Linked DNA regions of Diceros bicornis minor. The main gene of each other region encodes a partner of the protein of the gene in region 4 in a complex. Links are inferred from orthologs where the notes say so. Each region holds a gene or a part of one and is shown on either strand. Other genes may lie near its edges. The genes, in order: RARB, MED13, RXRA and MED1.

What was found.
Region 1: the proteins of MED1 (region 4) and RARB are in contact, whole or in part, in a crystal structure (PDB 1XDK), measured with the Mus musculus proteins. The link is inferred for Diceros bicornis minor from reciprocal best matches to the Homo sapiens genes MED1 and RARB. Residues at the interface, in NP_001073587.1 of Mus musculus: His642, Pro643, Met644, Leu645, Met646, Leu648, Leu649, Lys650, Asp651; in NP_001276689.1 of Mus musculus: Ile264, Val267, Lys271, Phe276, Ile281, Gln284, Ile285, Leu288, Lys289, Pro435, Leu436, Glu439, Met440.
Region 2: MED1 (region 4) and MED13 share a complex: the UniProt entries of both Homo sapiens proteins name them as parts of the mediator complex. The link is inferred for Diceros bicornis minor from reciprocal best matches to the Homo sapiens genes MED1 and MED13.
Region 3: the proteins of MED1 (region 4) and RXRA are in contact, whole or in part, in a crystal structure (PDB 1XDK), measured with the Mus musculus proteins. The link is inferred for Diceros bicornis minor from reciprocal best matches to the Homo sapiens genes MED1 and RXRA. Residues at the interface, in NP_001073587.1 of Mus musculus: Asn641, His642, Pro643, Met644, Leu645, Met646, Leu648, Leu649, Lys650, Asp651; in NP_035435.1 of Mus musculus: Phe282, Val285, Lys289, Phe294, Leu299, Gln302, Val303, Leu306, Arg307, Thr454, Phe455, Glu458, Met459, Glu461, Ala462, Pro463.

What each region holds. Positions count from the first base shown.
Region 1 is NC_080741.1:29,820,993-29,828,655, forward strand, and holds the start of RARB (retinoic acid receptor beta), read left to right. Parts: upstream 1-4,662; 5' UTR 4,663-4,722; intron 4,723-7,663. UniProt on the Homo sapiens protein: Receptor for retinoic acid. Retinoic acid receptors bind as heterodimers to their target response elements in response to their ligands, all-trans or 9-cis retinoic acid, and regulate gene expression in various biological processes.
Region 2 is NC_080757.1:27,789,039-27,795,896, forward strand, and holds the start of MED13 (mediator of RNA polymerase II transcription subunit 13), read right to left. Parts: upstream 3,020-6,858; 5' UTR 2,861-3,019; coding exon 2,795-2,860; intron 951-2,794; coding exon 716-950; intron 1-715. UniProt on the Homo sapiens protein: Component of the Mediator complex, a coactivator involved in the regulated transcription of nearly all RNA polymerase II-dependent genes.
Region 3 is NC_080767.1:41,224,923-41,231,908, forward strand, and holds the start of RXRA (retinoic acid receptor RXR-alpha), read left to right. Parts: upstream 1-3,974; 5' UTR 3,975-3,997; coding exon 3,998-4,028; intron 4,029-6,986. UniProt on the Homo sapiens protein: Receptor for retinoic acid that acts as a transcription factor.
Region 4 is NC_080757.1:39,169,473-39,176,451, forward strand, and holds the start of MED1 (mediator of RNA polymerase II transcription subunit 1), read right to left. Parts: upstream 3,021-6,979; 5' UTR 2,836-3,020; coding exon 2,811-2,835; intron 566-2,810; coding exon 459-565; intron 1-458. UniProt on the Homo sapiens protein: Component of the Mediator complex, a coactivator involved in the regulated transcription of nearly all RNA polymerase II-dependent genes.

The DNA.
Region 1 (7,663 bases), on a different chromosome or scaffold from region 4:
TGTTCTATTTCTGTGAAAAATGTTGTTGGAACTTTGATAGGGATTGCATTGAATCTATAGATGGCTTTAGGAAGTATGGACATCTTAACTATGTTAATTCTTCCAACCCAAGAGCACGGAATATCTTTCCGTGTGTGTCTTCTTTGTGTCTTCGTCAATTTCTTTCAGAAATGTTTTATAGTTTTAGTGTACAGATCTTTCTGTACAGTTTTCAGTGTACAGATCTTTCACCTCTTTGGTTAAGTTTATTCCTAGGTATTTTATTCTTTTTGTTGCAATTGTAAATGGGATGGTATTCTTAATTTCTCTTTCTGCTACTTCGTTGTTAGTGTACAGAAATGCAACTGATTTTTGTATGTTGATTTTGTATCCTGCAACTTTACCATATTTGTTTATTACTTCTAAAAGTTTTCTGGTGGATTCTTTAGGGTTTTCTATATATAAAATCATGTCATCTGCAAATAGTGACAGTTTCATTTCTTCCTTTCCAATTTGGATCCCTTTTATTTCTTTCTCTTGCCTGATTGCTCTGGCTAGGACTTCCAGTACTATGTTAAATAGGAGTGGTGAGAGTGGGCATCCTTGTCTGGTTCCTGTTCTTAGAGGGATGGCTTTCAGTTTTTCACCATTGAGGATGATATTAGCTGTGGGTTTCTCATATATGGTCTTTATTATGTTGAGGTACTTTCCTTCTATACCCATTTTATTCAGAGTTTTTATCATAAATGGATGCTGTATCTTATCAAATGCTTTCTCTGCATCTATTGAGATGATCATGTGATTTTTATTCTTCATTTTATTAATGTGGTGTATTATGTTGATTGATTTGCAAATGTTAAACCATCCCTGCATCCCTGGAATAAATCCCACTTGATCATGGTGTATAATCTTTTTAACGTATTGTTGTATGCGATTTGCTAGTATTTTATTGAGGATTTTTGCATCGATGTTCATCAGTGATATTGGCCTGTAATTTTCTTTTTTTTTGTGTTGTCCTTGTCTGGTTTTGGTATCAGGGTAATGTCAGCTTCGTAGAATGAGTTAGGGAGCTTCCCCCCCTCCTCAATTTTTTGGAAGAGTTTGAGAAGGATAGGTATTAAGTCTTCTTTGAATGTTTGGTAGAATTCACCAGGGAAGCCGTCTGGTCCTGGACTTTTATTTTTGGGGAGGTTTGTGATTACTGTTTCGATCTCCTTACTGGTGATTGGTCTATTCAAATTCTCTACTTCTTCTTGATCCAGTTTTGGAAGGTTGTATGATTCTAAGAATTTATCCATTTCTTCCAGATTGTCGAATTGGTTGGCATATAGCTTTTCATAGTATTCTCTTATAATCTTTTGTATTTCTGAGGTGTCTGTTGTAACCTCTCCTCTTTCATTTCTGATTTTACTTATTTGTGCCTTCTCTCTTTTTTTCTTGGTGAGTCTAGCTAAAGGTTTGTCAATTTTGTTGATCTTTTCAAAGAATCAGCTCTTGGTTTTATTAATTTTTTCTATTGTTTTTTTGGTCTCTATTTCCTTAATTTCTGCTCTGATTTTTATTATTTCCCTTCTTCTACTGATTTTGGGCTTTGTTTGTTCTTCTTTTTCCAGTTCCTTCAGGTGCATTGTTAGATTGTTTATTTGAGATTTTTCTTGTTTGTTGAGATAGGCCTGTATCGCTATAAACTTCCCTCTTAGAACTGCTTTTGCTGTATCCCATAAATTCTGGCATGTCGTATTTTCATTTTCATTTGTCTCCAGGTATTTTTTGATTTCTTCTTTGATTTCTTCGTTAACCCAGTCGTTGTTCAGTAGCATTTTGTTTAATCTCCATGTATTTGTGGCTTTTCTGATTTTCTTCCTATAGTTGATTTCTAGTTTCATACCGTTGTGGTCAGAAAAGATGCTTGGTATTATTTCAATCTTCTTAAATTTATGGAGACTTGTTTTGTGGCCTAATATGTGATCAATCCTGGAGAATGTTCCATGTGCATTTGAGAAGAACGTGTATTCTTCGGTTTTTGGATGGAATGCTCTGTATATATCTACTAGGTCCATCTGTTCTAGTGTGTCGTTTAAGGCCAATGTTTCCTTATTGATCTTCTGTTTGGATGATCTATCCGTTGGTGTAAGTGGAGTGTTAAAGTCCCCTACTATTATTGTGTTACTGTCTATTTCTGTTTTTATGTCTGTTAATAATTGCTTTATATATTTAGGTGCACCTACATTGGGTGCGTAGATATTTACAAGTGTTATATCCTCTTGTTGGATTGTTCCCTTGATCATTATGTAATGCCCTTCTTTGTCTCTTTTTATAGTTTTTGTTTTAAAGTCTATTTTGTCTGATATGAGTACTGCTACCCCAGCTTTCTTTTCATTGCCATTTGCGTGGAGTATCTTTTTCCATCCCTTCACTTTCAGTTTGTGAGTGTCTTTAGGTCTGAAGTGTGTCTCTTGTATGCAGCATATATATGGGTCTTGTTTTTTTATCCAGTCAGCCACCCTATGCCTTTTAATTGGAGCATTTAGTCCATTGACGTTTAAAGTAGCTATTGATAAAAATGTACTTACTGCCATTTTTTAACTTTTTTTTTTTTTTCCTCAGTGTTGTAGTAGTCCTTCTCTGTTCCTTGCTTCTTCTATACAGAATTGATGGTCACCTTAGTTTGACCTCTGTCTGAAAGCTGTACTCTTTAACTCCCCTCCTCCCTCCTTTTATGTTTTTATATCATATCTAACCTCTTTTTTGTGCATTTGTATCCATTACGTTCTAATCATGGAAATAGATAATTTTTCCTATTTGTGGTCTTTTCTTTTCCCCTTAAATCAGTCCCTTTAACATTTCTTGTAGCACTGGTTTCTTGGTGACAAACTCCTTTAATTTTTGCTTATCTGGGAAAATTTTGATCTCTCCTTCCATTTTGAATGATAACCTTGCTGGGTAGAGTATTCTTGGCTGTAAGTTTTTTTCTTTTAGCACTTTAAATATATCGTGCCATTCTCTTCTAGCCTGTAAGGTTTCTGCTGAGAAGTCAGCTGATAGCCTTATGGGGTTTCCTTTGTATGTAACTTGACATTGTCTTGCGGCTTTTAGGATTCTCTCTTTATCTTTAATTCTGGACATTTTGATTATGATGTGTCTTGGCGTGGGCCTCTTTGGGTTTATCTTGTTTGGGGCTCTCTGTGCTTCCTGTACCTGGATGTCTGTTTCCTTCCTTAGGTTAGGGAAGTTTTCATCTATTATTTCTTGAAATAGATTCTCTGACCCCTTGTCTCGCTCTTCTCCTTCCGGGACACCTATAACACGGATGTTAGTGCACTTGATGTTGTCCCAGAGGTCCCTTAGACTGTCCTCAGTCTTTTTAATTCTTTTCTCTTTTACCTGTTCACCTTGGGTAATTTCTTCTAGTCTTTCTTCCAGCTCACAGATCCGTTCTTCTGTATCCTCTACTCTGCTTTTGAGTCCCTCTAATGAATTTTTCATTTCCAGTATTGTATTCTTCATTTCTGATTGGTTCTTTTTTATATCTTCCATTTCTTTGTTGACATTCTCACTGAGTTCATCTATTCTTCTCCCCAGATCAGTGAGCATCCTTAACACCCTTAGTTTGAACTCTCTGTCGGGTAGGTTGCTCATTTCTGTTTCACTTAGTTCCTTTTCTGGGGTTTTGTCCTGTTCCCTTACTTGGAATGTATTCTTTGGCCTCCTCATTTTGCCTCTTTCCCTGTGCTTGTGTCTACGTATTAGGTAGGTCAGCTACGTCTCCTGCTCATGGATAGGTGACCTTATGTAAGTGATGCCTTAGGAGGTTTCCAGTGTGCTTCCCTCAGTTCTCAATGTTCCAGGGGTGACCCCTATGTGGGCTATGTGTGTCCTTCTATTGTGGCCTGTTAGCTCTTCCTATAGGCGCCCAGGGAGGCTGAGTTATGCTCCTGGCCAGCTGTTGTAATGCTCAGCTGTTTGTAGTTGTTGTGGGCCCTTCAGTCTCTTTATCAGGTGTGGGGAGCCCCGGCACAGTTGGCTGTAAGTTCTAATACCACATTTGTGTTGCAATATTTCTTTTAAGTGACTAGGCCCCCAGCGCGGCAGGTTGTTAGGCTCAGGGCCTTACAATTTCTGTAAGCCTCTAGCCTATTAGGTCTCTTGTCAGCTCTCTGAGGATTGCAGCTGTGTGGGGCTGGCCTCAGGCACAGGAGCACCCAATTGTTTCAGGCTTTGGAAGGTGGGGCAAACCTCCTATGTGGGTCTTTGAGAAGCACAAGTCTTCTGCAGCTGACAAGCCCTGTTGCCCACAGGTCCACACACACAGTCAACACAGTCCTGCCCTGTGTGAGCGCCCCGACCCACAAGCGGACCCAGTCTCTCCACGGCGGGAGCCCCACACACTCCGGCACTGCCCCACACTCTCCACTTGCTCCTTGTGCACACCCTGCCCCTCTCAAGTCGGCTCAGTTGCCAGGCTGCAGAGAATCCAGTCACCAATCTATGCAGGCCCACACGTTGCCTGAGGGCTTGTTGTTGGGTGGGGCCAGTCTCTAGGGTGGGCTGCCTGCCCTGGCTGAGCTGGATTAAATCGGTGCTCTAGCGGGTGGAGCAGACCCTGGGCTAGCAGGCCTCAGGGAGAACTCCAATGGCGTCTGTGTCAGCACGCCCACACCAGGCCACAACAATGGCCGCCGCCAATGTCCCAGTCCCTGGAGAGGTCTCACCCCTCACCGAGATGCACTCAGGGCCTATTAGGTGAGTCTCTTGTCACCAAAGCACTGTGCACCTTTCTTGTGATTTTAGGATGCTTTCTGGAACGGGTGAGTTTGTGCGCGGGCCCTTTAAGAGCCAGTTTTAGTTTCTTTGTGAACCGGGTTTTCTGGGGGTGCTCCCCAATGCTTTAGCAGCAGGCAAAGTCAGATATTATGCCACTGGTCTCGATTGTGCTGGGTCCACAAAATGCCCACAGCGGGGGCGCTCCCCGGCTCAGGGCCCCGCGTCTCCAGGGAGGGTGCGTACCTGTGAGCTGCTCCCGGCGGCCGTGAAGCTGGCGGCTTGTGAAGGCGGCGTTTTTCCTCTCCAGAAGGGAGTCTCTCCCTCTTCCACCTCAGTTAGGATTGTCCGTTGTTGCAGGAGTTCCTCTCATCCAGTTTTCAGTTCTGTCTCAGGGGTAATCGTTCCACCAGTAGTTGTAAATTGGCTGTGTCCACGGGAGGAGGTGAGTTCCGAGTCTGCCTACGCCGCCATCTTGACTGCGCCCAGCCCATATGGTTATTTTAAACAAATATTTGGTTTGAAGAATGGGTAGCATTTGCATCCACTCCAGTTTTTCCTCTCTTTTCCTCGTCAAGAGAGGAGAATTGGACTTGCCTTCCTCATATTTATCCTCCAGCGCTTGCGATTTCCTGGATTATTTACTGTTTGTGGCTTTGAAGGCATAGTCTGTAGCCTTAGGAGGCCTTGTACCAGAGGAGAGGGCTAGGATTTAAGTCAGTTTAATGTGAGGTTTGATTTTCTCTTATTCAATAAGTCATTAGCAAAGCGTTTTTCTCTGAGTAATTAGCTATTCTTTTGGTTTCTTCTCTCTTAGTGATCACTGTTTTCTAGGGGACAAACATAGACCAGAGAATTATTTTCTCTTAAAACAAATAGGTAAAAAATGAGTGTGTCCACGTGCATCAGCTTCAAGAATGCCCTTTTCATGTCAATGAAATGTGGGTTGGAATAGCTAAAAGATTGAATCCAACTTTTGCCTTAATCCTGATAAAATAGGGCAAACTCTAAACATTTTAAACTAAAGAATTAAGGCAAGATGGGGAGAAACGCACTGTGTGTTTTTGTGAAATCAGGTCACAATGCTGCACTGTTGCAAACAAGGGGAACCAACATGGACAAGTTCGCCTTATATACCTCAATGAGGTTGAAAACATTGGCAATGGGGACCCAGACAAACAGAGCAAGTGGAACTATGGAAACATTTCTGTTCCCAAACAAACTCTGTGCAATTACAAGCCTGAGAACACCCACGGAGCTCTCAAACTGGGTACCAAAAAAGACGAGGCTGCTAACTTCTAAGCAAGTGACAATAGGAAAGGAAAAACCCAGCCGGGATGAGCTTGCCCTTCTCAGCTGGCACCAAAATAACATTGCTTGAAGAAAATAACATGAAGCCTGGCAGTCGCAGAGCCACAAATAAAAGCTGTATTTAGCAAATGCCAGGGAAAAAACATAGTCTTTATTTCTTGAAGAAACTACCACGTTTACAATGTTACTAATGGTATATATCATGTCAAAACCATGTCCTGCTAGCCAATGCAGAAGTAGATGCTATATGGTGCATACATTAAGATGTTCTTTAAAACGCTGAGATTTCTTGGTAGGCTAAGACCTGTGGCTGAGGATTTACGCATAAGTTCAGCTGTGTGAGGTCGTTTCAAGATGTTGCTGACTTCCTGAATCCCAGAGCAGAGCTTCTCAAACTTTCGTGCGCACAATACAATCACCTGAGGTTTTGTTAAAATGTAGGTTCTGATTCAGCAGGTCTGGGGTGAGGCCTGAGATTCTGCATTTCTAACCGTTCCCAGGTGAAGCCCATGTTCCTGGCCCATAAATCACATTTTGAGTTGCAACGTTCTAGAAGATATTATGTCAACTTAATGAGAAATGGGGAGGGCAGGTTTAGAACTAATTAGGTTACATACTCAGGATATGGTAGGATAAAATGATGGACTTTAATTAGCATTTGAATGTGCCTATTGCAATGAAAGATAGAAAAAACTTACTTTTACAAGACTCATTTTTTTCATTGAGCATAGACGTTACAACAGAAGCAGAATCTGGTAATATACTAGTATCTTTGTGTCAGAAGAGACCTCAACAAGGTGAGCCTCCTGACTCCCCACCTAGTGCTGTTTCCACAGTGTCCAAAGGGTCCTCTCTTCACGTTCAGGATCCATGCAGCAAACTTCCTCCCACCATCGTGTATTAGTTTCCCGTGGCTGCTGTAAACAATTATCACAAACGTGGTGGTTTAAAACAACAGAAATATATCCTTTTACAGTTCTGCAGGCCAGAATTCCAAAATCCTCATTACTGGGCCAAAACAAGTTATCCACAGGGTCATGCTCTCTCCAGAGGCTCTAGGGGAGAATCCATTCCTTGCCTCTTCCAGACTCTGGTAGCTGCCAGCATTCTTTTTCTTTTTTTTTTTTTTAACTTTTAAAATGCTTATTTTAAAATAATTATAGATACACAGGAAATTGCAAAATAATGTACATGCAGGCCTCTTGCACCTGTCACCCAGCCCTCCCCCAATGTCAACATCTTGCATCAGTATATTATAATATCAAATCCAGGAAATTGACATTGATGTAATCCATAGAGCTTATTCAGAAGACTCATATTTTTAACTGATTAAATAATAACAAAGGACTTTTTAATTTTTATATTTATTTTAGAAATAAATGGGCCAGATGCCATTATTACAGCCTATTTCAGCACACAATCAAAGATAAAATACATGCTCTGGTTTAGAGGTATAGAAAGCTCTCGCCAGGAGATGGCACCTTAAATGTACATTATGAAACTCATGAACCAGGAAACTGGTGCAGTCACTTCTCATTCCAGCTTCCCAGCATTTCATTTGCTGCAATATAGCTAGTAATGAAATGAATTTAAAGACATGAATCCAACGTTA
Region 2 (6,858 bases), about 11 Mb from region 4:
CTAAAAGTCAAGAAAATAAGATGGAAGTAATCTTAGTCATCTGCTCATAATAAAATTACTTCTGTGTAACTTTTTAGATTACGACCCCCGTGTCCTATAAAAGCTAAACAAGTTGGCAGTCATCTCATGTTAATGATAGTCTTTGATAGAACAGCATCTAAAATAAAAGAATCACTTTCCAAGAATAACAAAATTAACATATGCCTTCATATGTTAATAAAATAACAACCACAAATAACTAACAAAAATAACTACATGCCTTGAAAAAACACATGAGAAAATTACAATACATTTCTAGATACTCCTACAATTGTCTGCATACTTGTACAGAAGAGAGCAGTGGCAGAAATGACTCAAAGGTGAATTACACTTGGCTTCAAAAGTATTATACGACTGCGTTAGGAACTTGATGCTCCCCGATTTCATTTTCCTTAGGTTAATGTAACATGCCTTCCTTGGGCCCTAACTGCAAGAAATTCATGAGGAAGGTGGGTGGTGGAAGAATAAAGTTATTCAAGGCTTAAAAAGTCTGCCATAATATGGATAATTTAAGTAAAATAAATAACCACAGCGAAACAAAACATGAAGCTGACTTTTTATCTGGCTTCATACCTACGAGTGTTCCTCCAAAAACATCTTAATTTGTAATACAAATGATTTTTGGGTAACGTATACAACATTGCTATATCATTAATTAGAAATAAGTTGCTTTCACCTGATAAGTCATGGTGAATAAGGTCAGCAAAATTGGGGTCTTCACCCCACCAAAATATCCACAATTCTCTTCTTCCAGGTCTTTGATCTCGCCGCCAAACACCAAGTACATCTGCCTTAAGGCAGCGACTAAAACTGCTCAAAATGGGGTCTTCCTCAGTCACCGCAAACAGAATAGGGGCAGAAGTTGGGCCTTGCCATACATATCTTTTCCATTTAATTCCTGTCAAGTCAGCCTGAAGGAAAGAAAGCATGATTTTTTTATTATTGCACATTCACTCAAAAAAGTCAACACTACTCACTCTTAAAATTCCTTATTTCATTAAGACATTACAATTTTTCAATATGTGCTTAAGATATTGAAAACAGATTGACTAATTTAAAAAATGCTTATTAATTCTGATAATTTAACAACCAAAAATTTTAGGAAAACAAAACAGTTAAAAAATTAACACTGACGTGTCACTGAATAGCAAGTCAATAAATGTGTCCCAAGGAGAAATAAAAAAAACTTAAAAATTTAAATATAAACGTGTACTTGAATACTGCACACACAGAAGACATTTCCTCTCTGTCCTAAATTCTGTTCTAATTGGTCACACTTAATCCTTGGTGTCAAATTTGTAACACAAAACTAATTTTTAAAGATATGATTCCATGTCTATAGAAGTCATGGCTCTAATGAAAAGAAATCTGAACTATAACGGAAAAAATTCTTGTTAACTCTCCACATATCACTTTTAGGAAACGTCAAATAGGTGTTCACAAAGAACTGTCAGATTTGTGCTAGTCTATCTTCAAAGAACCTGATCCCAAAAGTGCCAAAAATAGACTTGAGTCGGAGAACACAGAAATGTAAAACCCGCTGTATGTCTTATTACATCTGAAGAGATGTTGATTAATGGACATCGTACAGAAAACATCTTATAGGGAAAAAGGGAATTAAAGATCTCAACTTAGCATCATGAAAGAAATTAGACAGAGGGAATTCACTAATTCTTTAATCTAACTTAAACAAGGTGCAAAGCATAAGGTGCCAAAAATGAAACTGCTGATACATGACTGGCAGTTTACACTTGCCAACTAGTTGTGCTCCGCCCACTCAATTCACTTACCTATCACACACTCTTGTCAGTATTTCTCATAGCACAGAGAAAATGAAAAAAGAAAGTCACCGAACTTTAAATCATTGATGAAGCTAAGCTACTGTCCAACTGAGGACTAAGTATTTGCAACAGTTGGTACTTCTGAAAGTCTTAACAACTGGATCTTCCCAGACCTGGGCCAACCTACACAACTGTCATCTCCATAGCCAGCTTCCCCAGACTTTTCAATAAAAGGAGGAGCGTCCTGCTCAAAACATTCTAAAAACGCAAGCAAAACAGACAAATATAGCAATATCTAGTGCAAAACCATAGCACCTCCTCCATTAGTCCGCTCCACTCTCACACAAACATAATGTTCTAATAAAAGCAAGATGGCCAGAAATTGTCAAAATGGCAAACTGTTTTCAAAGTTTAAAGAGAAAACATATGAAATGGCATCTACTGGTTTTTACACAGAGGTCTGAAGTCATCCAAGAAAGAAACCAACCCTCTGTTTGATTCATATAAAAAAAAAAAAAGTAAAACGAAAAGAGGTTTTAGTGCATAAGTTCCGGGGTCCTGTTTATTGGGGGAACCCAAATTACCAAAGTGGGGCAGAAAGGCAGTGGGAGAACGGGTAATAATAGAAAGTGTGAAGAAGGGATACAAAGTCAACAAGGAGAAAAGCAACAGTTAAGCACGAAACAGAAGGAAATGTTAGCGTCCTGCCAGATAAGAAGCCCAAGTTGAAGACAAGACTATGGTGAGAAAAAAAAGAGTCAGAAACAAGACAAGAAAAAAAGCCAACACCGCTAAAACAGAGCCCAGGGCAGAGGGCGAGCGAACGCGCCTCCCGGGGCCGGTGCGGAGCTCCCGCGGCGCCGGCTCGGGCCGGGCCTAGCCCGGGGACTCGGGATCTGGATCCGACCCGGCCCCCTCCCCCACGGCCCCAGGGCGCACCTCGCAGCCCCCTCCCCCACGGCCCCGGCACTCACCAGGCAGAAGAGGTTACAGTGACAATCTTCCAGGCTGGCCCCGTTCGGCACGAAGGAGGAACTCATCGTCCCTCACAGCAGCCGCCGCCGGCGCCACAACCCACCATCCGCCATTACCGCCGCCTCCGACCAGAGAGAGAAACACAGACACCGGGGAGGGCGGGGGGGTGGTGGTTGGGGGGGCGGTGGAAGAGGAGGCCGCCGGGCCGCCCGCCCTCCCCACCCACCCCCCCGCCGCCGCAAGCAGCCCCCGCCGCCCGGCACCCAGCCGCCCGGGGCCGAGGGCCGGAGGCGGGAGGGCCACGCCGCGCTCGCCCCGTGGGCCGGACTGCGGCCGCCGCGGAGCCCGCGGACGCTCGTCCCTCTCTGGGGGACAGAGGGGACGTGTGCCCCTTCCACAAGTAAAATAATAAATTACACAATAAATAATTAAAATCAAGTCCGAAAGGGCAGAACCCAAGCTCTGGAGGGTTCTCCTGGGGCGGGAGGCGCCCGCAGAGGGGCGGGAAGGGCGAGAAGCCGGAGAGAAGCCCAGGCCCCCGGCGCGGCAGCGGCGATGTCCTTAAGCCCAGAGTCTCCTCAGTGGCGGAGGTGGTGGCGGCGTCTGCGGGCTCAGACCATTCTCGGGCTGTCTTCGTGTTGTCCCTGGGCCAAGCTGGCCTAACGTCTGCGCTCCTGCGGCCTCACCGCCCGGACGCCGTAGTCTCCCCCATTTTGTGGGCCCAGCGGGCGGTGTTTTTACCCCTTTAATCCGAATTCACGGGTTTTCCCTTCGCTTTAATGGCGGCCACAGGGACCAGCTCGCCCTCTCTGCTCGCCCATTGGCCGCCTTGAGGTCACGTGGGCCCGGGCTCCGTGGGGAGGGGAAGAGAGAAGGGAGTGAGGGAGGGCCGGGAAGCTTTCGGCAGAGGCGGTGAGCCTCGGGGACGGGGCAGCCCGCTGGTGGCTGCTAAGATAGCGCCATCTGCTGGGTGCTCCGGCCAGTGTAAGACGATCGGGGCCTTGGCCCTAACTTTCTCCTTGCCGGGGAATTTACAGTACAAGAGGGTTCACATCACAAATCGGAGAATTACGTGGAAATCAGCTTGAATTCTTTGGAAGAGAAAATGTTGCAAAAATTCCACGGCATTCTCATTTATTCCACGAGGCCGCTGAGGTACAGCGCAAACCCCTGGGCCTGGGACGATCTGAGATAGGACTCAGCCACTTAAAAGTTGTGATATTAAGAAAGAAACATAAAGGAAACAATATAACCTTGTGGTCAATAGCCTGGGAGTTAGAGCCACACTACCTGAGTTCAAAACTTGAGCTAGTCACTTACCTCTTTGAGTCTCAGTTTCCTCATCTATAAAATGGGGAAAACATACCCCCTCCTCATAGTGTTGTTGTGATAATTGAGTTAATACAAATAAAGCACATAGCCCAGTGCCTGCCACAGATAAGCATTGTTAAGAGTTATCTATTACTGTGTCATCATTTACCTCACGTGGTTATCGTGAAGAGTAAGTGAACCAGTGCATGTAAAGTGCTCACTGGAGTGTAATCTCCGTTGGAACCGGGACTTTGCTTCGTTTACCTCTGTATCTCTAGTGCCTAAAAAAGGTTCCTAGCACACAGTAGGCGCTTGATATTTGTAAATTTGCAAATGAATGAGTGGTAAGAAGTAGGAACCAAATACATAAAATGTTAGTTCCCTGCTCCATAAAACACTCAGTTCTTGACTGGATTACACTTCAATGCAGGAGTTCAAACATTTTCCCTGGGAGTTTTAGAAAGGAGAGAAGGAAAAAGACAGAGAGAAGGGAAGGGAGGGAGGGAGGGAGGAAGGGAAAAGGAAGGAAGGGAGGACGGAAGGAAAGAAGGAAGGAAGGAAAGAAGGAAGGAAGAAAAGAAAAACTAAAAGTGATTCAAAAGTTAGAAATAATGAGTTAGGACTTACCATAATTTTAAATCATAATTGCCTCTGTAAAATAAATGGTGGACTCTTCCATGTCACTTCTTCAGCCGTGGAATGAAAAGCATTCCTCATCCATCCGAGATCTTGAAGCCAAAAGCCTGTAAAAAAAGTTCTGCCACTTACTGGTTGATCTTGGATCCAATTTGATTTTAGATCAAATTAATTTCTCTTACTCTCAGTTTTCTCATTGTAAAACGGGGGTAATAAAAGTACTTTTCTCATATAGTGCCTGGAAAATGAAACAGTGTAGGTATAGGGCTTGCCATAGTGCTTACTAAATGTTAGCTATTAATAAACTTTTAAAAATCGTTATTGAGCACCTGCGTGCTCAACTAAGTGTGTTCCTGGTCTGTGCTAGGCCTGGGATACAAATACGGATAAGACACCGGCCTGTCCTTCAAGGTTCCTGAAGAGAGGCAATAAAGGAACTATTTCCCACAGAATAAGATAAAATACAATGGAAGTAATTGCTTGAATAAGGTATGTATCAACTATGGCACAATGGAAGTGCAGGACAAGGAGCACCAAAGTCAGAGAATGTGTCTTAAAGTAGGTAGCACTTGAAATCAGATTTGAAGGATAAAATGAATTCTTATAAAGCCCTTTGAAGCAGTTAAATCTTATTAAACCTAATTCAGATCCAAAGGCCACATATCAAAGTCAATTATACAACCAGGACTAATTCAATTCAGGAGCTCAAATCAACTAAGGTCCACATCCTTTCTAACTGAGTGCCAGCACCAGGAGACAGCAATCCCCAGACCCAATAAGGTAAGAGCCCCTCTGCTCATCTCTCTTTCCCTGAAAGAATCCTCAGACCTTTGTGCCCACTACTTTTGTCACTCTGATATGTACTCTATCTACCACCTCTTATTTTATCCAAAATGTAGCCATCCTCTTTAGAAGTCTTGCCGTCCATTACCCTGCCCCCAACTTGAGCACCTGTCTCAGGACTCCAGAGACAGATAGAATCTGCCAGAAAACCACGAAGAGCAGAGTAACATTTGATTGACCTTTCATTTGAATGTCAATCTTCTCAAAAAGAAGGGAGAGATAGGAGACAAGAAGGGAGGAAGACCCAGAGGAAAAAGTCTGAGAAAGGATCACGGAAAGGAGCAGGACAGAGGGAGACAGAGGGAGAGGGAGGGGGGGAGAGAGAGAGAGAGAGACGAAAAAGCAGAAGAGAGATTGAGAGAGAGAATGGAGAAGTGCAAGTGGAGAAGAGGGACACCAACTGTGAGGGGAATGGAAACATCATGGGGAGAAAAACAAAGAGCAATATCAGCACACACAGAACATGTCAGTAACCAACTACATTCTCTTAAAATGACATTTTGTGTGATTTAAAGAGTAATGGAAATAAATAAAAAACTGTATATGCACATTGTCAAAAGTTTGGAAGATATGGAAAAGTATAAAGATGAAAAATAAAATACATAATCAAAAAATGCCCATAACATTACCACTCATAATTAACCATGTTTTAACATTTTAATGTATTTTCTTCCAGACTTTTCCATATATATATATATTTTTCTACATGGTTGAAGTCATACTACATATACATTTTACTACACATGCTTACTGACCATCTAGTATGTGTCACGTCATATATGCACAAAGCACAGGATATATGAGGAGCTCCTTGTCTTGCTAGATATGGCACTTGGACAGTTGGACCAGCTGGGGTCAAAACTCCACACCACGCCTGCTAGCTCCCTAACTTCCATTTACTCATTTGTAAAATGTGTATGTAATAATAGCACCTAAATGTTAGAGTTGTTGTGACAATTAAGAGATGATCCAAGTAAATAAGAGAGCCAATCAGGAATGTTAAAGTGAATCTTAGATGTTGCCTTGGGTCAATAATCACCTATTGTCTTCAACATTTTGAAATGTGGATTCGCTCAATGATCTACATTTAAAACTGTTTCTTTAACTCCTTCAGCCTTTTAAGGGCGCCATTCTGAAAGGGATAGTGGAGGCACCTGGCATCCAGAAAGGGTGACAGAGTTACATCACTTGAGACAGAGCAAGTCCAGGAAAGGGCGATGTCTAACCTTAGAACTAAGGCTCCCCACCTGATTCTGAAAAATCCCAGGATCTA
Region 3 (6,986 bases), on a different chromosome or scaffold from region 4:
CGGCTCTGCGAGCCCGTCCCTGAGAGGCCCCCTCCCGGTGGAGGAGGACACGCCTGCGTACTCGGCCCTGCCCGCTCCCAGCTCTGGCTCCCCGGTGCCCCCACGGGCTCAGCAGAGGCTGGTCAGGGCTTGACGGGCGTGGCCCCTTCTGGGAAGAATGGCAGCTGCTCTCCCTGGGCGCTGGTGCGGGCGCTCCCGAGGGCCTGGGGTTTCCCTCCCGGGGCCCGGCAGCCCCTGCATGTCAGTGCGGTGAGATGCAGCCTGTGGAGTGAGAAGGCACAGGCAGCAGAAGGTTCTGGAGAGCTGTCTGTCTTGCTTTGAGTGAGCAGTCAGGTGTGTCGCTCTGTGGGTGGTGCACACGTGTGTGTGCATGTGTTAGTGTGAGGGACAATGACTGCCACACCTCTGAGGGCCTTTTTGGGCCCCATCCCAGAGAGCCCCCCCACCCCTGGCCCCACCCGGGGCTACCTGGATTTTGGAGTCACGGGCCTGGGTTCGAGGTCCAGCCTGGGGCGGCTAGGGCGCTCTCCAGCTGAGTGACCCTGGGCACATCCCCCTTCCCGTCCCGTCCGAAAGCTGCCCTGCTGTCTCCTGCAGCCTCGTGGTTCGGAGGCGTGGGGGCCAGGGCTGAGTGGAGACACCCCCTCCTCCCGGTTCAAGGCCCATTTTAACCTGAAACCTTACACACGTTGTTTATGCAGTCACACACGTATGCATGCGCGTGCACAGACGCTCAGACACGTGAACTCACACCGGATCTCTGACTCTAGTCTGCCGAATGGATGGGCTGGGTGTTCACAGCCCCTCAGTGTGCCAAGCAAGACCCTCTGAGGTTTTGGAGTCTTGCTGGGTCTCAAGACCTCGTAGGGTGCTGGGGGCAGGGCTCCAGGGCGGGTGGGCATGGGGGGAGGGGAAGCCCCATTGCCTGACTCCCCAGGACGCAGCCGGGATCTGGCCCTTGGTCTCCCAATATGGGGACTGGAAGGAGAACCATCTGTCCCCATCGGAGGTATCTTTGAGGGCCCCAGAGGGGTGCGTTGGGTGACATCGGTCCACAGTGGGCCCTGGGGGAACCGGGTTTTGTTGTCTCAGACCTGAGTCTGGACCTGGCAGGGCCGCTCTCGCCCTGCAGGAGACTGCCTGCCTGGCTGCTCTCATTCCCCGGCTCTCCACAAGCCCTTTCCTGGCCACTGGGCCCAGACTGGGCCTCCCCGCCCGGGAACCTGTGATTACCTTCCTTATTTCTGTGCTGGTTCACTCTCTGTCCCCCCAGTGGGTTCTCTGTGTGTCCCCAGATCTACAGCAGTATCTGGTGTGAGGTGAGGGGCTCATGGTCACCCCTCATTTGAAATTCCATATCTTTTGATGTGGCCTGGCTATACAGAGCCTTTCGGGATTTCAGAGAGCCAACGGTGGCATGACAGCTCTAATCGTGCTTCTTTGTCACCCCCAGCCTGTCCCCGAGAGTCGGCTGGGCATTGTGCTGGACACCAGGGGTGGGGCATCCAGACACCATTGTGGCCCCTTGGAGCCCATGGTGTGGTGGAGACCCCGGCGAGTCTGCAGGGTGGGGAACCGGCAGTGGCAGGACCTGGGGGGCCGGATGCCCATCAGGCTCAACCCACAGAGGGGCAGGGCCAGAGGGAGCGTGGATGCCGCTGGGCCGCACGTTCTAGGAGAGGGTGCTGCTGAGAGGGGAGGCTGCCCGGCTGGGCGGCCGGCTGAGGGGTTGCCGCAGTCATTGAGGGAGGTGGCAGCCAGCGGCCAGGGCAGAGTCCCCTCTGCTCACTCCTTTGGGATGTCTCCTGAGGGCCTGGGGTGAGGCCGCGTCTGGCCTGAACAGCGGGCAGCTGTGCTGGGAGACTTAGCCCCCAGAGCTGAAGAGAGAGTGTGCGGGTGTCGGCTGGTGTGGGGCCCTGGGCAGGCTCTGGAGTCAGCGGGTGCTGGGGCCCTGGGCATGTCGTCCCAGGGACACATGGCAGAGGGCATGTGGGCTGGGCATTTACCTCCAAAGTTGGCCCACCGCCCCCATCGGGCCCCTACCCCAATGAAAGCTCCTGCCTCCTGCTGGCCCGGTGCGGGCAGCCAGCTGTGGGGCTGGGGTGGGGTTCTTGCTGCCCTGCTCCCCCAGGGGTGGCCTTGGGTGAGTCCCTGGCCCTCACTGGGCCTTGGTTTCCTCCTCTCTGGGGTGGGCTTGCCGTGAGGGCTCATGTCCCTGGAGCACGAGGTGCCCTTGAGTGGCACCTGCCGTCCCCGGCCCACTCTTGTTTCTGCTTACAAGTCAGCAAAGGCGTGCAGGCCGCAAGTGGGCCGGGCTCGGCTGGCCTGGGAGGTGGGGGCGCGCTTGCTCCGCCTGGCTGGCCGCCGTGGGGACAGGGAGACGACCCGCGAAGGGGCCCCCCGGGCCTGGGCGGGCAGGGCGCCCTGGGCGCTCGGGGCTGTGGGCGAGCCCGGCGGACCCCTTCCGCTGCCACTCCACTTGCTGGGCCTCCCGGGGCTGGGGAGGAGGCCCGGCCTCCGCGGGCGCTTTCTCTTTCCAGAACACCGTCTCCCCCCGAGCTTCGCCCCGCAGGTCCGCAGGGAAGCCTCAACCCGGTTCACGGCCGCGCACGGTGGCCCATTTCTGGCCTGGTCCCCGCCATTCCCGGGGCCTGCGGCCTGGCCTGGGGAGTGGGAAGCAGGCTGGGCGTGGCCTTTGCACCTTCAAGGTGGCCCCACCCTTATCTCTGCGTGCCCTGAGGACGAGGGCCGTTGCCCAGGTCGGGGGGTTGGGGGTGCCGGGGGGCCGTGGGGCCGTGAGCCCTGTGCCCCGACCGGCCTCTCCCCGCGTGACCGCCGGGCGGCGGACAAGTTGGCAGTGGCCCTTGCCTGGGCGCTGCTGCGTGTCGAAACCAGTCGCTGACGCGGCGGGCGGTGTTGAAATAAGTGCTCCTGGGTTTCCCAACATCCTGCCAGCCTGTCACAGGACTGGGTGTCAGGGGCCTGGGTGCCAGGCCCAGCCTGCGCCTCCCTCTTGGGGTGTCGGGCTCCCCATTTCCTCCCCTCCCCTTGCTGCCCGAGGTGCTGGCAGAGTCGTGACACACTAGAGCAGGGTGACATTACTCTGGGCCCACGTTGTCTTTGTGACCTGCCCCTTTTACAGAGGTCAGGTGGCTTTGGAGTGGAAGGCGGGATTTGAACCTGGGCCTTGGGGCAGGAAGGAGGGTCGGGGAGCAGAGGCAGGCCGAGGATGGCTTGCCAGCCCGGTGGGCACACAGCGAGCAGGTGGCAGAGGGCGGCAGCCAAGGGTCCCAGCTCCCTGTGCCCTCTGAGGGACTGTCCTGGCGTACTGGGCTGCCCCCTCTCGAGGAGATGGTGGGAAGAGGGGAGCCCTGGGCAGCACTGGGTGGCGCCCCTCTCCCTTTGGCTGGCGTGAGGCCTGGCTCGTGGGCCTGCACTGCAGGGGGGCAGACAGTGGCCACGGGGGCTGCACATTCATCGATTGTCCACGTGCTCCAGGCAGTTGACTTTGGAGGGGTCGGGGGGCCCTCCCCTTAACCTCCTGGGGTGGGCATTCTCATTCTCAGTGTTGAGAGGAGGAAACCAGAGCTCAGAGAGGCCAAGTGACCTGCTGGGGGCGTCCGGTTCTGCAATTCTGAGCTGTGCGACCTCAGGCGAGTAGCCCAGGCTCTCTGATCCCTGAGGGGACTCTGCTGGCCTGGGCAGGGAGCTGGTTGAGGATGCTTCTGGAATCAGGCCCTCTGGGTGAAGGGGAGGAGGAGAGGGGCTCAGGATCACCCTCGCACTGCTGCAGACCCCTATCAGGTCCCCTGCCGGGTGGGGCCTGGCTTCTAGGAACTGTGGTCAGGCCTCACCCCTACTTTGGCGTCTGCCCGTCGCCTGTCAGCAGGGGAGGGGCCTGGGGGCAAGTCTCTTATAGATGAGGAAGCAGGCGCCAAGAGAGGGTGAGGGGCTGGGTCTGGGCCACACAGCGAGGCTGCCGCCCAGCCAGGGGCCCATGTGGAGGCGGGTGTTGGGAGAGGCGCTCGGTAAGGTGGGAGTTTCAGTGGCCGGGGTGGGAGGACCATGTGGGTTCCAGCCGGTGGCAGCGAGCACTGTCACTCGGGCTGGGATGACAGTCACGGGAAGAGCAGTGACCTCCGAAGGGGCTCTCGGTTGTCAGGCACCTGCCATGTGCTGGAGTCGTGGCCGGTGCCTCCCCGCCATAGCAGCCCAGGCCTGCTGGGCGCCGGGCACATGCTCAGCTCACCCAGTCATCCTAGAACAGCCCTGTCTGGCGGGTTTGTGAGCCCATTTTCCAGATGAGAACACTGCGGCCCCGAGATGTGACGCCACTGACTGTGGTCCCTGGCCGGGGGAGGTGGGGCTGGCCTTGGACCCGGTGCCTCCTGGTGCCAGGGGTCCCTGCATCTGTCTGCCGCCTTCCCTGGGGCTGCGGCTGTGGTGGCTGCCCTGGGGTGGGCATGTGTGTAGGTCTTTTCTATCTCCCAGCTTGTGGACAGAGAGCCGAGGGGTTGGTTTGGAGGATGTAGGAGTCTACTGTGCTGTAGCTGGAGGGAGGTGAGTAGTGCCTCCTACAGGAAGCCTTCCTTGATTGATGTCTGCACCAGGACAGAGTGCCCCTCCTCCTCGTGCTGCATCACTGACTGACTGGGCTCTCTCGGCTCCGGGAAAGGCTGTCGTCTGACTCTGGACGGGGTGTCCCTGGGCAGGCCCGGCCTTGCTCATCTGCCTGTTCCTAGCATGGGGGCGGTGGGACACAGGTGTCCCCTAGTGAGTGCTCTGTGTGATGTGTGAGGGGGGCTGAAGCCGAGGGCACCATCCCTTTGTGGGGACAAGGACTCTTAGACCCAGCGGGGTTGAGTCAGATGCCCGGGGCCCCACCCAGGCATGAGTCGTGCAGCAGCCAGGACTCGAACTCAGGTCTGCTAGCTCTGGGCCACCTGTGCCTCACCACCTCTGTTCACCATCTGTGGGGACGGGTGAGAAAGGGCAGCTTCAGGGTCACTCGTCCACTTCCATTGCCTCCTGACCACTTCCTTCGTATGTGACATCTCTTTGCAGAAGAAGAAATAAAGGCTCAGAGAGGTTGCTTAATCTACTTGGAGTTGGACAGCTTGTCAGTGCCTTAGGGTCTGTTTGAAACTTGGTGCTTGCTCAGCTGGTTCTTAAGGACTGTGGTGAATCCTGTAGCCTGTGTTCACCCATTGCTAGCTCTCCCACCCCCACCCCATCCATCCATTTAGTAAGTCTTTATTTGGCACCTGCTGTGTGCCAGGCCCCAGGGGTGCTCAGTGAACCAGTTATAGTTCCTACCTTCAGGAGCCCCCAGACCTTGGCAGGCGCAGACAAGTGGGCTGGGGCCACCCTGCGGCATGGTGAGTGCTCTGGGGGTACATAGTAGAAGAGGCCTCTGCCCTGGCTAGGAGGATCAGGAGGGCTTCCTGGAGGGGGTGTTGTTTGAACTGAGCCTGGGTTGGAGTGAGCCAGGAGACAGATAGGGGGAGTTTCAAGCCCAGGGAACAGCATGTCCGCAACTACAGGCGAGAGAGCTGGTTCCTGGAAATGATCCAGTTCCCAAGGCTGGGGGTGGAGAGTGGACAGGCCCAGAGAGCATAGGGCAGTGTGGGGAGGGGTGGGAGCCCCCAGGGCGGGTGAGGAGGAGCACAGGAGGTGCTACTGTGGCTGTGGTTGGCTTGGCACCCCAGGAGACCTTCCTGCCTCCAGCATTGCAGTGGTGCTGGGCACTTGGCTGCCCGGTCAGGGTCAGGGAGATGGGCAAGCTTCTTGGAGGGAGGCTGAGGGGTCCCCTGGTGGGCCTCGGCCCTGTCTGGAGCTCTGGGGTTGGGATGCCACAAGAGGTTGGTCCTAGGTGGCTGGCGAAGGCTTCCAGGCAGGCCCCGGCCCAGAGTAACCCCGGTTCATCCCGGGGTCAGCCCAGGGACCGTTCTGACGGGCTGGCGTTAGTCTGGGCCGAGCCATGCTGGGTCAGCCAGCTCACCTTACAGCCGAGGACACGGGCCGGACGGTGGGCGCGGGGCTGGGCGAGGAGCTCCCGGCCCTCCTGGGGCTCCTTCCAGCTCACACTGGGGGAGGGTGGAGGAGTCTGCGGCAATGGGTTTGGAGAATATCAAACCTGTGTTTGGCTAGGAGGGTGCTTTTGGTGGGAGAGTTTGTGCAAGTGGCTGATCAGGGATGATGCTGAGATTCTGTAAAACAGCTCCCCCCAAAGAAAGAAAGAACTCCAAAACCAACCACCCTACAACTCTGTTATTAACACCAAACAGAGGAAGTAAAAACCGGCCATGGCGTGCCCCCCGCCCAGGGTTAGTGCTGCGGGCCTTTGCTGTGGCCCGGCCTTCCTCCACGTGCGGATGTCTGGATAATAGCGTATCTCGGTATTTATTATTTTATGGACAAAGATGGAATGCCGATTTTTGGTTTCTGTCAAAGTTGGGATTCCCCCTTCCCCAGTTTTTGGGGAGGAAGAAGTTGGCCTCTTGCTGAGACTGGCCAGGCCTTTTCCAGGCCAGAGGAGGAGAGAACCGGAGCGTTCTCGGAGACTTTGGCTCCAGGACCCGGGGTCCTGCTCTGGTCACCACCCTCCCGCGCCTCAAGCAGCACCCACCACCCTGTGGGCATGGCCCGGGGTTGGGAGATTCTAGGGGCTTCTGGGCCCCAGCAGGGTGTGTGTGGGGTGTAAGTGTGTATGTGCTGATGTCCGTCCATCTGCGTGGAGACCCCTAAGTGGTCTCCGTCCCCTTGTTGGGGCAGAGGTTCCCTCCAGTGCCCCTGAGGTTACCCCGCTCCTCTGGCCTCCCCCACCCTCGCCCTGCACCTCGGGCCCAGGCAGCCCTGGGTCCCGGTCTTGTCTGCCACTGACCAGCCAGCTGTGTGGCCTTGGGCAGGTTGAACTTTGTGTCTTTGAGCCTCAGTTTCCCTTCTGTAAAAAGACAGTGGTGCTTGTAGGGTTTTTGGAAGAGCTG
Region 4 (6,979 bases):
CTGTAGAAAAAGAGCTTGACAGAGTGAACAGGTGAAGCTAGTACTGTAGAAAAAGAGCTTGACAGAGTGAACAGGTGAAGCTAATTAAGAATAAATTGCAAATTCTACTAGTAGTATAAATACAATAAAAGTACTATCACATTAGAATCAACAGCTTGACAGGAAGTGAAGAATAAATGTCTCTCTATAACAATCTATCCTGTGTGCCTCTATAGGTGTATTTCTTATCACCTTTGCCTAAAGTAACCCAGTGTACTGTAACTCATGATTAACACCATTTTATAAATATACCTCCCTCTTAGACTCTTAAAGTTGATAGCCAGTGTACTCAGGTGTTTTATGATAAATAAAACTGCAGACACACTACAATAACTACTTTTAAAAAGTCTACACAGGAGCTTAGCTTATTAAATAATTATCTAAGCACAACACTTTATCCACTTCACTACAATCCTCACCATGACTTGACGCACAAGCTTAATGGTTTCACTCCAAGGTCTATTTTGGTTAAATTTTGCATGGAGCCGTTCCAAGAGAGAACTCATCTTACTCAGCTTTTCCGATTCTACGATATAAATCAGAAAACATAATTAGAAACTCTTCTTTCAAGACCTTCCACAGTTTTTCCTGCAAATGAAACTCCCATACTTCCTCCTGTTAAGAACTCAGTTAAAATATTTTTCAGTGTCATTTACTTCAAAACATACAAAGAGGGGCTGACCCCATGGCTTAGCGGTTAGGTGCACGCGCTCCGCCACTGGTGGCCCGGGTTCGGATCCCCGGCGTGCACCGACGCATCACTTCTCTGGCCATGCTGAGGCCACGTCCCACATACGGCAACTAGAGGGATGTGCAACTATGACATACAACTATCTACTGGGGCTTTGGGGAGAAAAGGCAAAAAAAAAAAAAAAAAAATACAAAGAAATTTATTTTTAATGATAAGAAGACACACAAATTATGGGTCTAATCTAACAAACACCATAGAACAAGACTGCTTTCTATTCAAACTTTTAATAAGAACCAAAAAAAGAACCATCTCTAATAATGTTTCAGGATTGAGACTACATTTCATGGCAAAATCATTTCATGATATGCATGAAATCCTTTGTATGATATATGTGGAGCATACATTTGAACATGGCCTTACTATGATTAGTTGGTTTTCAGTGTGAAAATACAGACTTTCTTAATTTTTTGACATAATTTTAAGAGATCAATTTATAAGTACTATCAAGAAAACAGGCTTTATTTCCCATTCAGATTTTTCCTATTTGAATTCAAACTAAAACTATATGGACAGGGAAGACATCACTGACTAAAGACACCAGTGTTTTGGACAACAGATACCAGGATGAGTTTCCAGCAGAGGTAACAGAAAGGTAGAAAAGACTGGCTCCTGGATTAGGTGTGTGAACAAACCTACACTCTCCAACCCTCTTCTAATTCTTGTACTGCTTAGTATGAGCAAGGACCTGTGCTAGAGACCACTGGCAATGCAAAAACACACAATATGCCTGAGATGACATCTGTGAGGGGGTGTGGATAAGTTAACGTGGAAATAACCATCACACAAAGCCAAAGGAGATATGCTCTTAAAAACAGAGACACATTCTATTGAAATTCAAAGGAGGAAAAGTTCATAATTAGTTGCGGAGATGCTACAGAAAAGATGTCATTGAAAGATGAATAGAATGTCAGCAATCAGAGTTGAGGCAGTGACATCTTCTAAATCAAGATTCAAACACCTTCCTCCAATGCCCTCATCTTCTGGAAAACTGGTTTGGGGGCTGTTTCAGCCAGTTTATAGTTCTGGACACAGTTCTGGCAATTTCCACTTTCAAGACTTATTCATTCAAGCACTATTGTACGTGTGGGGGCTACAACAGCGAGCAAACTAGACAAAATTCCTGCCTCATCGAGTTTCCATTTTTACACTTGTCATTCCTCTATACCCAAGGAGTATACCTTTCTTCTTCCTCTCATTCAAAACACACTCCCCTTCTTTTCCTTGAGAAGCCTGAAGATAAATATCTTTACACAAATGTTCAAATCAAACATTCTTTGAGCAACTATTATGTGCCAGGGACCATGCAACGATGAGGAACACAAGGGCCCTGATCTACAAAGCTCAGAGTAAAGTGGAGAAGAAGAATTAACAACAATACAGTGAGCTGTATCAATAGCACTATGTCCAAAATACTAAGGAAGCATTTAAGCCAGAATGCGAAACTTTAGAGAATCTAAGTAAGTTTCCACAGAAAAGTCATTCTTCAGCATTTCTAAGTTAGGCCAGCCATTGAAAGGATGAAATTCAGCGCATTTTTAAAATATACAATAGCACAAGATCGGAACACTGTGGCATTCTAGGGAACTGCTGGCTTTTAATATTTTAAGGACCTAATCATTTCCCTTACGCCAAAACATCCTCCAGTACTTTGACACGCAGCTCTGTTATTTTTTGTCATTATTCAGACGTCTCTTCTGGAACGAGATGTAAGCAAGTTTTAGATTCACTCGCCTGTTCTCCCATCACTTTAGACTAAAAACGCTCTGAGGCCCAATTGATTGCCCCTAGCTATGCAGGAAACCTTCACAGAAGTTGGGAGCCCCCATCACCCCAAAGTCGGAGCTCTCCATCACCAGGGAAGGCACAGTCAGAATATAAAACCCACACATACCCCGCCTCCTGGACTCTGCGCCCCCGGGAAAGTGGCCCCCGCGGAGGCATCGGTCCTCTTACAGCTCCTCTTACAGGTTGGCTCCCCCCAGCTGTGTCCCGCCCCCCTCTTTCCCCCTCAGTCACTCACCCTCGGTTTCCCCCTGAGCCTTCATCCTGACGGTGGGGAGAGCCCGATTCCTACACAAGAGGATAAGCCCTTCCCCACCAATAACGGGGGAACCAAGTTGGTTCGGGATCCCGGGACGCAGGGCACCAGCAGTCCCCACTCTTCCCGGGAAGGCTCAGTCTGAAGTCCCCGGCGGCAAGAAGAGAAGGGTGCTCGCGGCCGCCGCCATCTTCCCCAACGGAACTTCCCAAAAATCGCGAGATTAACCGTGATCCTGCGAGAGAGAGGAAAAGGGCTGGGCACCAAAATATCGCGTAAAATGGTTAATAGGGTGCTTCTCGCGAGATTTTTCCAACAGCGTTTCCTCTTGTTTGTCTCAGAGTCTTGGAGCTAGGCGTAGAGTTTGCCGGCGGGTGCTCTTTAGGTCTTTCGCGAAAACTGTCGTCTTCCTTTTGGCATTTAAGCAATTCGCAGATTAAAATCCCCCACTCTCGTTACTGAAAGACTAGCTTTTCGAAGAATATTGGTATCGGAAATATTTTACTAAAGATAGTATGTTTTCTTGAGATACTAGATGGATTAATTATGCCGTAAAAAAGATATTGGCCGGGCCGCCCGGCGTCGCGGTGAAGTTCGTGCGCTCTGCTTGGGCGGCCCGGTTCGCCGGCTTGGATCCTGGGCGTGGACCTGCGTACCGCTCATCAAGTCATGCTGAGGAGGCGTCCGACATAGACAACTAGAAGGACGTGCAACTATGACACACACAACTGTCTACTGGGGCTTTGGGGAGAAAAGAGGAAAAAAGAAGGAAGATTGGCAACAGATGTTAGCTTAGAGCCAATCTTCCTCAAAAAAAAAAGATATTGGCTCTTTGTAACTTGACGTTCCAAGCCAGCCCAGTACCCTTAATTCCTATTTCCTAATTTTTAATTTCAGACATAATTTCTTGAGCAATTCCAATATTTTTGAAGATCTGGGAGATTTTGGATTAAGGTAAATTGTTAGCAATCAGAGCATCAGATGCTATTAATTATATTTTGAGTCTTAAAGGCGTTCACAACTGATTGTGTCCCTTTTTTGCAATCATAGTCAAAACAAGCAGGTTAGCTCACACTCTACAAGTCACAAAAATGTGTAGTCGTATCTCTTGTATCAGTAAATCCTCACAAAGAGAAATTTGGGGTAATGTTGAGAAGTTCATGGCCGCTGGAACTGAAGAACCAGGCTAAAATATAACAATGCTAGCATTAGGTGAAAGTTCTTAACATAATTAAGGCTACTTTTTTTTTTTTTTTTTTTTTACCATACACATCCTTGAAAATAACTGCTGAAAAGTTGGATTTTATGTAGTTTGCTGCAAGGATACTAAGGAGTGGACTTCTGCTGGATCTCTAGTCTCAGACTTTCCCCACATTTCAAAAATGCTATTCAAACATCCTCCAAAGCGATTCCAGCAGATAACTATAGTTCAGGTGAGCAGGCACAGCAGTGTAAATTTAATAATAACAAAACTTTGGAAATGTCTGGGAACATGTTTTTATTGCCACAAAGATACCTATAACCATGCTCCTTGAAAGTAGAATTCAAATTTTATTTCCTGCTTATTCCTCTTATCCTCATTCCTTTGAGTCACTACATAGTGAGTTTCTTGGGGCAGGAATTGCCCCTCATTTCTGAATTCCCGCTACCTAGCACTATACCTGGGCCTAGTAGGCAAATCTTTTCCTGGGCCTGTAAAGCCTTGCTAGACCCAGCTCTCCTCCCCTTGCCAACCCCCAGCCACACTGGGCTTCTTCATGTGCAGAAAATTCCTGCACTCCTTCCTCTCCCAAGGTCCTGGAACAGGCCTTTTTAACTGCTGGGAGGCTTTCCCCTATTCCAGTCTTTTCATCTCATTAAGGCCCTCTTATTCAGATTTCAATTTAAATCTCTCTTCCTCTAACTAGCAAAGCAAGCCTTCTCTAATCCCTGATTTGATCAGATTCTCTGTTATATTATTATTTCTTTAATAGCACTTTCACCATGAAAATTAATTAAGTGCATGATGATTTCTTCAATGCCTGTCTTCCCTACTAGACTGTCAACTCTGGGAGGGCTGCACTGGTTTGGTTTCTTTCACTACTGTCTAGTGACATTGCCTAGCCCAGCTCCTGACACATATCAGCTACTCAGTGTATAGTGTTGAGATAAATTGATAGGGTTGCCAGATAAAATACAGAATGCTCAGTTAAATTTGAATTTCAGATTTCTATATTTTTTAGCGTAGAAGTATGTTCCGAATATTATATAATGTAAATCTAGCAACCTTAAAATTGATGAAGTACACACAGCATTTATCCACGAGAGAATTTCCAAAGATAGTTCATATTTTAAATGCTATTTCCTTTCCTGTTGTCAAACAAAGTGCTCTTCATTCAGCAAGTATCTATGGGGTCCTAATACTTGTGTATTAGGAGCTGGTAATATAAACATGAAAACAGCCCTAGCTCTTGATGGGCTCACCTGATTTAGACTTCTGAAAATATGAATGGTCGCTATAATCATAGGTACTCAAAAAATTTTTGTTAATTTATTATTATGCCCAAAGTATCAATGTTAGCTACACAGCTACACTTCCTCATGGAAACTCTCTGTACAAGTAAACAATAATGTCTGTTCTAAGTGTAGCTAGAAATTTTAACCCTTATAAAGCTTGAAAATGGAGTACACTTTACCAAATTCCGCTCATAGAATAGAATGAGAAGTTATAATTTCTCATCTGAAAATGCAGATGAAATGACATTGTTAAAAAATTTGTACTCTAGATGTAAAGATAGGAGAGATGTGTCATTAAACAAGAAAAGCATTTAAGGCCCACACAGGAACCATCTTTCTACATGGCAAGAAAGAGACAATGGACAGATTTTAAGGGACTCATCTTTGAGGGAGACTTTGGAGGACTCTTGAAATCTAAAATCTAAACCAATAAATTAGGGGCCAGCCCGCGGTGGCGCAAGCGGTTAAGTGCGCGCACTCTGCTGTGGCAGCTCAGGGTTCGCCGGTTCGGATCCCAGGCGCGCACCAACGCACCGCTTGGCAAGCCATGCTGTGGCGGCATCCCATATAAAGTGGAGGAAGATGGGCATGGATGTTAGCCCAGGGCCAGTCTTCCTCAGCAAAAAAGAGGAGGATTGGCAGATGTTAGCTTAGGGCCGATCTTTCTCACAAAAAATAAATAAATAAACAACAAATTAGTCTGGGGGGGGCAAAGTTATTGTAACTTTAGTTAAATATTTCCTCTTGTGTACAGCCTAAAGAGAAGCTTTCTGACCTGTTTTGGGGGATTTACAGAGAAAGTATAGTCATTACCTGACTGATCACCTTGGGGTTCACAGATTTGCCCGGACTCCCTGCCCCGGGAGGTCATGCAAATAAAGCAAATGGCACAGTCCTGGAATTTCTGAGTTCAAAGTTTTTCTGTAGAGTGAACTAACCTTTATTTTACAAAAGCAGTATTCTCACTAGTTGTTGAACCAATCCAGGCAGTTTACAATCTGAGATTTCCAGGAATAGAATTTTTTCCCCCAGCTTTATGTAATTGATGTTAGAGTAGAATTTTATCCACCAAAAAGAGAAAATGTAGTGCACTAGAACGAGTACTGGTTTAGGATTAAAGAAAGAGCTGTCCCTGCCCCTGGCACTGACTACATTTAGTATAAATGTGCTCCTATTCTTTCTGAGTCTCAGTTTCAACCTTTAGTAGATGCATATAATAATACCCATCCTGGCTACCTCACCAGGTTATTTATTTGTTCAACTGATATTTATTGACAAACTTAAAAGAGTTCTGTGGAAAACTGAAAAGTGCTATAGAATATAAGATATAAAACTTCAATGAAAAGCTTCACTTTTTTAAAAATTTTTATTTATTTATTTTTCCCCCAAAGCCCCCGTAGCTAGTTGTATGTCATAGCTGCACATCCTTCTAGTTGCATGTATGTGGGACGCGGCCAGGCCAGAGAAGCAGTGCGTCGGTGCGCACCCGGGATGCGAACCCCGGCCGCCAGTAGCGGAGCGCACGCACTTAGCCGCTAAGCCACGGGGCTGGCCCCACTCTTTTTTATCTTTAATCAAGATTTATGGACTCAATACAGGTAGGGGCCAGCCAGTGGCTTAGTGGTTAAGTTGGTGTGCTCTGCTTCGGGGCCTGG